Linked DNA regions of Ovis aries. The protein of the gene in region 2 purifies or fractionates together with the protein of the main gene of each other region. This does not show direct contact. Links are inferred from orthologs where the notes say so. Each region holds a gene or a part of one and is shown on either strand. Other genes may lie near its edges.

Region 1 (4,482 bases), on a different chromosome or scaffold from region 2:
ATCGTTGCCTAGAGAATCCCATGGACAGAGAAGCCTGGCAGGGTGCAGTCTAAAGAGGTGCAGAGTCAGACACGACTGAAGCAACTTAACACACATACAATATTTATATTTCGCATCTCTGTTAAAGGTATCTGCCACCTCTTTGCACATATACGGAATTGGTTTAATAAGAGATGCTGTACCTCAATTCCATGAAAATACCCAGCCAAAAACTCGATTCTGACATCAACCAATCAAGAGCACAAAGCAGCAGATCATGATAGTCTCAGAGACTGACTTTGAGGGCAGAATACAAAAGCAGGGGTTTGGGGGATCAGGATGAAACGTTTTTGCTTAAGACAAGCCAGACTTAGGGGAAAAGTAAGAGGGAAAAAAAAAGTAAGGGACAAAGAGAAACCACGGTTGACATCATTGCTTCTGTGATTTATCAATTTTCTTTTCATCTTTAATCTTCAACTAAAGAGCTTTGTTCCTGCTGGACACAAAAATAGTATTACTGTAGCATGCATATATGGCCATTTCAGTATGCCACAGGAAAACCTCATTTACTGACCTAGAAAGGTTTGGGAAGCATAAAACCATTAAACAGAGGCCTAAGGCCTAAAGAGATGGCACAAACTGGTAAGCAAGATATCAGCTGTGAATAATTCTTTCAACTACAGAGCGATGATAAAAGTCCTTTTTCGATTTAACTGCCATTTTCTCAAACTTTCCAAAAGGCTGCAGATTATGCTAAATTAGCTAAACCTTCTCATATTTCTCTTTTTCAATTTCCCCACGGAAAATGTCATTCTCTCTGCAAACAAAAATCACACCAAGCTTGTTTCCTTTTCTTTCCTTGAGCCAATTTTAAGTCACTCTTCTTAACCCTAAATACCCAAGCCCACGCTGGTCAATTGCCAGTGTCTCTCTAGAACTGCAGGTGACAGATGCAGTCAGAGAGCTCACAGACGTGGATTGGCTGCGGTCTGAATCCTATTGCAATGAACACACTGACAGAGCCCGCAGAAGCACATCTCAGCAGAAGGAGAGAGTTTAAAAACCGTCGTTTCCAATCGAATTTACTTTTAGACCTCTTACTGGCTATTATGCTCTTACCCCGGTTCTCAACCTTGCTTAGTCCTACGTCCTACCCATTTTATCCTCCTCAGTTTCAGATCCTTCATCAAGCCTAATTCTGGTTAATACTACTACTAATAATAAATTAAAAAAAAAAAGGGTGGGGGGAGGTGCTGCAGGCATTGCCAAAAGTAGGAACGACCAAGGTGCTATTTGGGAGCCTTCCCGCCGCGGCCGAGGCCGCATGAAGTTTTCTGGGAAGCAACGGACCCTTTTAGCATCTTTGCACGATTTCTCGTCCCCTGGGTGAGGGCTCCACAGAGAAAGATGGGGAATCTCCCTTCTCCAGTCTTTCCCAGTGGTGGCTAACCCAAGAAATAAAAATATCTCTTCTTATCCCACACCCCGCCGGATAACGTTCCCAGGCAGTGACGCCCCACCCCCACCCCGTTATCCCAGACGAGATCCCCAAATATCACCCCGTCCTCCTGAAAGCTGGACCCTCCCTCGGCCGCTGGACCAATTTCCCGCATCGGAGCTGCTCTTCCCCCTCGCCCAGGCATCCGCCCCCGCACACTCCATCACCAGCATGCCCGCGGCTCCGCACAAGCCCGCCCCGCGCCAAGACGCCCCGCAACCGGCACTCGGGCAGCCCCGAAGCCCGCGCTACCCCTCCCGCCCAGGGTCGCCGACCGGGTTACCGTGGGAAGAGCGGGCGGCGGCAGAGGACGCGGCGGCAGCGCTGCTGCCGGTTGCGGCGGACGCGAAGGATAAGCTGGAGGATAAGGATGATGATGAGGCGAGCACGCTCCCCAGTCTCCATGGAACTCCTGCCCCGGCCGGTTGCTAGGAGCCCCGAAGGCTCGGGCTCCGTCTTTCGTGCTTTGTTGTTCCGGGTACAGGGCGGCCGCTGCTTCCCCGCGACAATAAATAGACCAGACGCGGGGGAGCATAGAGACAACGCTCGGCGGCTAGAGCGCCGCCGGACAGAGCCCTCCTGGGTTCCTCGCTAGCCAGTCATATCCGGCTCTCACTGCTCCCGTCACTTTCCCCCGCCTCTTCCTCCACTTTCCCTTCCTCCTTCCTGGTGTCCGGGTCGGCCCGGCCTGCCTAAGGGCTTGACGAGGTGGGGTTAGTGAGGAAAGGTGTGTAATAAGCTAGATTTCTTTTGCTTGAGAACCGCCTGGAAAGATTTCGAAAAAACTGTGCATCCCTTGTACATTTTTAGCTAGTAGTTACACATGAGTACGTAATTTCTGGCATACAGTGTAATATAAACGGACTTTAGGGTTTTTATTTTGAGGGGTGGGGGTGGGGCAAAACCGTGCCACTTCTGTTAGCTCATTCAATTCATAGAAAAGGTCCACCATTCAATATAGTTAGCGAAGCTGGTCCTCAACAACTAAAAATTGTTTTCTACTTCTGACGAATACATTTTCTGTTTTGAAAAAGTCCGACCGCTTTTTCGGTTAAACGCGTTAACTTACGTGATCAAACTCTCGTTAAGGAATGCTAATCCTAGTCCTAAAATACAGTGATAGGATATGACAGGTAAAAGAATGGATAGATAGATAGATAGATAGGTGATAGATAATAGGGGTTAGGTCACATTTCTGTCGCCTGCCCCTTTGATATTCCATACTCAACTTGGGTTTGCGGTCAGGACTCTGCCTTGGAAGTCGGGAAGCACTTGAGAGGCTTTTAAGCCGTGTAGCCGGATCCAAGAAGGATGGGAGGAGGGAGAGGGCCGCTGCACGCTGGGTCCGGGCTGCTGAGCAGAGGCGGCGGCGGCGGCGGCTCTGCTCACACGGAAGCCGAGCGCCTGAGGAATGAGACCCTTCCGCGGCTCCGCGCCCAAGTGGCCCTGGAATGACCCGGGGGACTCCCAGAGGCGCACACTTCGCCAGTTTGAACGGCCGCGCTTGGGCCCTCGGGGCCCCTCGGGGGCCACTTGAAGGGTGCTGCCTGCGAGAGCGAGACCGGACTAACGGTCCGGGAGCGCGAAGCAGCGGTGCGGATACCCGCCGCGCCCCCGAGTCCCACTCCCAGGCGGGCCGGCACAGGCCTCTGCTCAGAGTTGGGCTGCAGTTAAAAGCCTCTCCCTGGATGAGACCAGTGGGCAGCTCTAATTTTAATAAAAGGCCCTAAGGGCCTCATGAATACCTGGCCTCTGGTTGGTGTGCATCCGCCATGAATCATGCTAATACCACAGTTCTTTTTGAAATAGATGACTTGGGCTGACTTCTGAGGGGTTGGGGAGGAGGCAACCATTTGAGTATTTCCCTATTTATGGGGTCTCCAAGGATGCCTATAGATCTTTTCCTTCCTACTCTGAATATTCAGTAAAATATGTGAGCATTTAAAGACACTGTAGAATTATGGAACTTTGATCTGTTTCAGTTTCTATAGTCATTTATTCTTTGAACAGTATTAAATAATTATAGCTTGTATTAGGTGTAATGAAGACAGCAAGCAAGAGGCTGGGTTAGAGAGTCATGACTGTGGAGTAGTGGGGAGATGACTTTCAGGTTGTTATCTGAGGGGGAATGGAAGGGGTGCACAGTGTTCCAGGCGGAGGGAACAAGACAGGCTAGAGCTATCTGTGTGGGAGATTGCAGCCATGAAATTAAAAGATACTTACTCCTTGGAAGGAAAGTTATGACCAACCTAGATAGCATATTCAAAAGCAGAGATATTACTTTGCCAACAAAAGTCTGTCTAGTCAAGGCTATGGTTTTTCCAGTGGTCATGTATGGATGTGAGAGTTGGACTGTGAAGAAAACTGAGCATAGAAGAATTGATGCTTTTGAACTGTGGTGCTGGAGAAGACTCTTGAGAGTCCCGTGGACTGCAAGGAAGTCCAACCAGTCCATCCTAAAGGAGTTCAGTCCTGGGTGTTCATTGGAAGGACTGATGCTGAAGCTGAAACTCCGATACTTTGGCCACCTCATGAGAAGAGTTGACTCATTGGAAAAGACTCTGATGCTGGGAGGGATTTGGGGCAGGAGGAGAAGGGGACGACAGAGGATGAGATGGCTGGATGGCATCACTAACTCAATGGACATGAGTTTGAGTGAACTCTGGGAGTTGGTGATAGACAGGGAGGCCTGGCGTGGTGTGATTCACAGGGTCGCAAAGAGTCGGGCACGACTGAGCGACTGAATCGAACTGAACTGAGTAGCCTGGATGGGGCATCATGATCAGTGAGTGCAAGGGGAATCGGACATGAGACAAAGCTGACAAGAAACTAAGGCTTGTACCTTCAGTGACTTCCAGACCATGTGTAAGAGAGTTTGAATTTTCTTTCAAATGTTGGGGGAACTGAAGGGTTTTAAGTGGTAGAGTGGCATGGTCTGATTTACCAAGGAAATGGCAGGAGAAAGGCTCTATTCCAATGATCACTGCCACTGTGGATAAGTCAGC
Region 2 (4,454 bases):
ATCTCCTTAAAATGTCTGATTCTATAAACAAGGGAAGTCTGCCTATGGATATTACTTGATCTATAGTGATTCAACTACTGAATTACAAAAATACATTTATAAAGTTTTTTTAACCAATGATTCAAAGCATTATAAAGATGCAGTGTAATTTTAAATTGGTAGTATAAATGTCATATTGACGATATAAATTAATTTTTCAGCAAAATAATTGTAATGTTTCTGAAGTTAGTCATCCCTAAATATTCTGCTTGGATATCTGCACATTTATTGGTACAATGTGCCTTCTTCTGGCACTCCCTAGTTAATGAAACGATCCTGCTTTAATATTTTGTTTTTCTGCTTTAATTAACCCACAACCTGACCACTTAATGCATTTGTATGCACTATAGTTAAAGGGAAATGTGTATTCATCATTAAGTACACAGAGAATTTTAAATTGTTCAGGAGTTAAAAAGCACCCAAATTACTGCTGTCTTTCAGAGTATGCGAGTACATAGGCAATATCTGAAAAAAGCAATTTCCAAATTATTATTTAAAACACTAAACTTTACTTGAACCAGTTTCTGCCTTTTATGGAATACACAGTAATTGAGGTTTGTCCTGGTTTTCAAATACCAGATATTCCAAACTCGTGAATTAAAGGGCCATTAGCGTCATTAAGTAACAAAGAATTTCTTTCAAAAGTGTTAGTTCCTAGTACAATACTGGAAAATAAATTGGATTAATTTCTACACGGGATACCATATGAACATGCAATGCAGCAAAAACAGTCTACTTAGAACTTTAATTTTTTAATACCCAGTTTGCACTAAGCCTCTTCACATTACTCACAATTCCCCTAACAATTACTGTACTGTAGACATAAGACTCTACGTCGAAGGTTTAGGCACTTCTCTATTTCTTTGAAAAGGTGTGTGTCTCAAACATTTATTACAGGAAAACATGATGAAATATTAGCAGCTGTATTTCTAATATGTCCTGAATGCTCGGTGAAAAAAATACTACCAAAATCAAACCCTCTACAGCTGGAAGCTAAAGCTTAAAAAAAAAAATAATAACTGACAATAATGCATGTACCTTCTTAAATACAGAAACGATTAGACATCTGAGCTTAAAATTGTTTTTAAAAACAAAAATAAAAAGAAGAGACGGCAAGTCTATTCTCCCCTAACAAAGACCGGCAAATCCCAGCTGCTGCGTCCAAACAAAAACTTGCGGCTGCGAAGGCCGCCCTGACTGGGCACGAAATTACAGTAGGCAGAAAAGGACCTAGAAATAAAAGTGAGCTCTGCACGCGCCTGCCTCTCGCCTCGGGAGCACGCACCTCCCAGCCCCGCTCTCAGCAGCTCTCACTATTTAAAGCCGGATCTGGTGTTTAAATGGAGAGGCGGTGACGTAGGCCTGAAAAGCACCTTCCCATCCTGGCAGAGTCTATATTAGAGAGCGGCAATGGCTCTATATAAACAGGGCAGCCAAAGGGAGGAGGACCACAAGGCTCAGGGACTGAAAAGCAGGGTAAGCGGCCGCAGCCATGATGGATCGACCCGAGTCGTCAACGGTACGGGGCCGGGCTGCCGCGGGGCTGGTCTGCGTTTGGGACCGGGCAGAAACGTTTGTTTTATTGTTAAAATAAAAATAAAAGAGAGTGGGGGTGGACTCGTGATCACACTGCGTTGTTGACTGACAGACAAGGTTATTTATGTGACTGCTTTTTGCAAACCTACGTGATCGCAAGTAAGGAAAAAAGAAAAAAAAAAGGGACCAACGGTGGCAAGTAGGCAGATTTCAAGGCGAAAGCGGGGCACTTTGGACCACTGGAGGCTTTGTTTTGTTTTGGTGCTTTTGCTAGTCGGAGGTATATACGACGTTGGGGGTTGCTTCCCCTTCGCCATTTTACCGATTCGGAAGGAACCGAAATAAGTGCTTTTCAACCTTCGTCTTTTTTTTTTTTTTTTCCAATAATACATAAAATGGCCCCAGTGAAGGCTCCCTAAGCACAACCGCCAGAACACCTCAGAGTAACCCCCAGAGTAGCCATTCGCCTTCCACCGCGTTAACAGTGGATCGCGGTGGGTCTCGAGGGGGGACTCGCCCGGCTCCCCCAGACGCCGGTTTTTTTTTTTTTTGAGACGGCTCGCGGGGAGCCCCTTCTCCTGCCGGTTCGGGGGCGGGCGGGCGAGGGGGGTGGTAGGGAAGCGGCGGCTCCCCTCCTGCCCTCCCCTCCTGGCGGCCGGGGGGGGTCCAGGGCCGGGACCGCGCGCTCGCCCCGGCCCAACCGCCCCGCGGCGGCCCCAGGCCCGGCCGGCGCCCCAGCCCTCCCCGCCGCCGGCGCCCCCTCCGCGAGCCTCGGCGCCCGCCCCCCACCACCCCCCGCGCCCCGCCGCCCCGGCCCGCGCCGCCCGAGGCGGGAAGCGGCGGCCGCGCGCGGGCGGCTGAGGAGAGTCGAGGCCGGGGAGTCGCCGCCGTCCCCGCCCCCGCCCGGTCCGGCCGTTGCTCGCCGCCTGAACGAAGCCCCCGCCGGCCACCGAACCACGTCCTTACCACGGTGTTTGTATTTGCCGAGTTCGCCATTTCCACACACAACACAAACAAGAGTGGGGGGGGCCACCCCGAGGAAACAAGATGAAAACAAAACGAAAGAGAGGAAAAAAATAAAAAAAACACTCGAGGGTGACCCAAGCCACCGCAAAACTGAGGGGAAAATCTTTCAAACAAAATCGGATCCTGACGGAGGAGAGGGGAGCGGCGAGAGGAGGAAGGGGAGGACGAAGGGAGGGGGAGTCCTCCCGGAGCTAAAAAAACTCGAGAATCGCCCTTTAAAAAAAAAAAAAAAAAGGCCACGACCCTTCAGGGGTCCCGGGGGGCGTTGCCCGCTCCCCACCCCCGCGCCAAGGAGGGAAACCACCACCAGTCGCCGCTCCCCGCGCCGCCGCCGCCACCGGCTGCAGCTCCAGCCGTCCGGTCCGCCCGCTTCTCCCCTTTATATAGTGAGCCAACGAGCTGCGCGAGCCGTCGCCGCCGCCGCCGCCGCCGAGAGACAGGGCGGAGGGGGGAGGGAGGGGCGGAAAGGGCGGGGGCAGCGGTGGGCGGGGCCGAGCGCGAGAACACCGCGAGAGCCGCGTGCGCAGGCGCGCCGGGGCGGAGGCCGCCGCAGGCCGCGTTGTCGAGCCCTGTGGAAGGCGTCGTGAGGGGCGGGGCCGACTTAAAGTTGTGAAGACCCGCCGCCTCCCCAAGTCTCGCGTGATCACGTGGTCGGCACCCAGGCGGAAGTTTCGGGCAGCTGCTTCGGAATAGTGAAGTAAGGAGAGGTGGTACAGTCGGGTCCGTATCTTTGCGACCCGGTGGACTGTAAGCCCACCAGGCGCCTCAGTTCGTGGGATTTTCCGGGCAAGAATACTGGAGTGGGTTGCCATTTCCTTCTCCGGCTTCGGGATATAGGGGCTCGCTAACCGTTGCCGGAGAAAAGGCGTGAGTGCTGTTAACCTTGGAGTCCAGAGCTAGCTGGGTGACCGCCTCCTGAAGGGTGTCTATACGCCGTCCGGCGCTGCAGGGGCTCGAAGATGTGGAAGGGACAGTGGCCGTCGCCCCACTAGGCATGGCCGCGGAGGAGAGCCGGTCACGTGCCCCACCCCGTCGCCCGCGCGGGCTTGGACCGTGGGCAGAGGTTCAAATGCGGAGTCATCTCTGAAGAGGAGCTCAGCTCAGATGCCACGTTCGGAGGCGTGGGCACCTCTCGCCTGGCCTGAGTCTTTAGCTTGCAGAATTGTACCGAGTTCCTAAAAGGGATGAAAGCTGATTTGCCACACCACCCCCCTCCCCACCTTAACACATTCCAGAATCAATGACACCTGAAGCCAGATGAGTTGTCTCCGCGGGTACATCCTCTGGGTTTCAAGTTTCCCAAAGGTCCGGGCCCTACTATCCCACGTACTTTAAATGACTTCTCAAGGCAGTGGAAAAAGCCACCCCCTCCCTCTCCAACCCGAAACGGATCACCGGGATTATGACTGCACAAGTCCCACCAGTTTTTAAAAACGTTGCCCCAGTTCAGTGACTCCACGTGGCCAAGGCATATTAACATCTGAAATACTGGGCCTCTGATCCCCGGCCTCTGATCCCCAGTAACTGATAGGGCCTGTTGCTGCTAAAAAGCGGGCAGAAAATGTTGTTGTCTTGGGGTGCAGCTCAATAGACATTTGACCTACTCTGTGGAAGCTAATCACCGGCCTTTATAGCAGCATTTCACACAACAGAGAATGTTCTGTGTTTTAAAAGGTGGAACTTAACAGTACCTAATTTTTTTGTCCATAGGGAATTTCCAGAGGCAGGGAATGTAGTCTGGACAAATGAGGGAGTTTATCCTCAAAAGGCAAAGCAAAACAAAATGTCAAAGTTATATAGTCTCTAAGGTCATATTGGAGGAACCTCACTTGCTTCTCAGTTCCCTGCAGAGT

Evidence for each region.
Region 1: the proteins of GTF2A1 (region 2) and TBPL1 purify together in Homo sapiens (affinity purification with mass spectrometry; 5 studies listed by BioGRID and IntAct, counting the BioPlex papers as one, with this or other methods). This does not show direct contact. The link is inferred for Ovis aries from reciprocal best matches to the Homo sapiens genes GTF2A1 and TBPL1.

What each region holds. Positions count from the first base shown.
Region 1 is NC_056061.1:59,382,109-59,386,590, reverse strand, and holds the start of TBPL1 (TATA box-binding protein-like 1), read right to left. Parts: upstream 2,934-4,482; 5' UTR 2,707-2,933; intron 1,960-2,706; exon of another isoform or gene 1,761-1,959; intron 1-1,760. UniProt on the Homo sapiens protein: Part of a specialized transcription system that mediates the transcription of most ribosomal proteins through the 5'-TCT-3' motif which is a core promoter element at these genes. Seems to also mediate the transcription of NF1. Does not bind the TATA box.
Region 2 is NC_056060.1:90,691,842-90,696,295, forward strand, and holds the start of GTF2A1 (transcription initiation factor IIA subunit 1), read right to left. Parts: upstream 2,987-4,454; 5' UTR 2,572-2,986; coding exon 2,542-2,571; intron 1,559-2,541; exon of another isoform or gene 1,485-1,558; intron 1-1,484. UniProt on the Homo sapiens protein: TFIIA is a component of the transcription machinery of RNA polymerase II and plays an important role in transcriptional activation. TFIIA in a complex with TBP mediates transcriptional activity.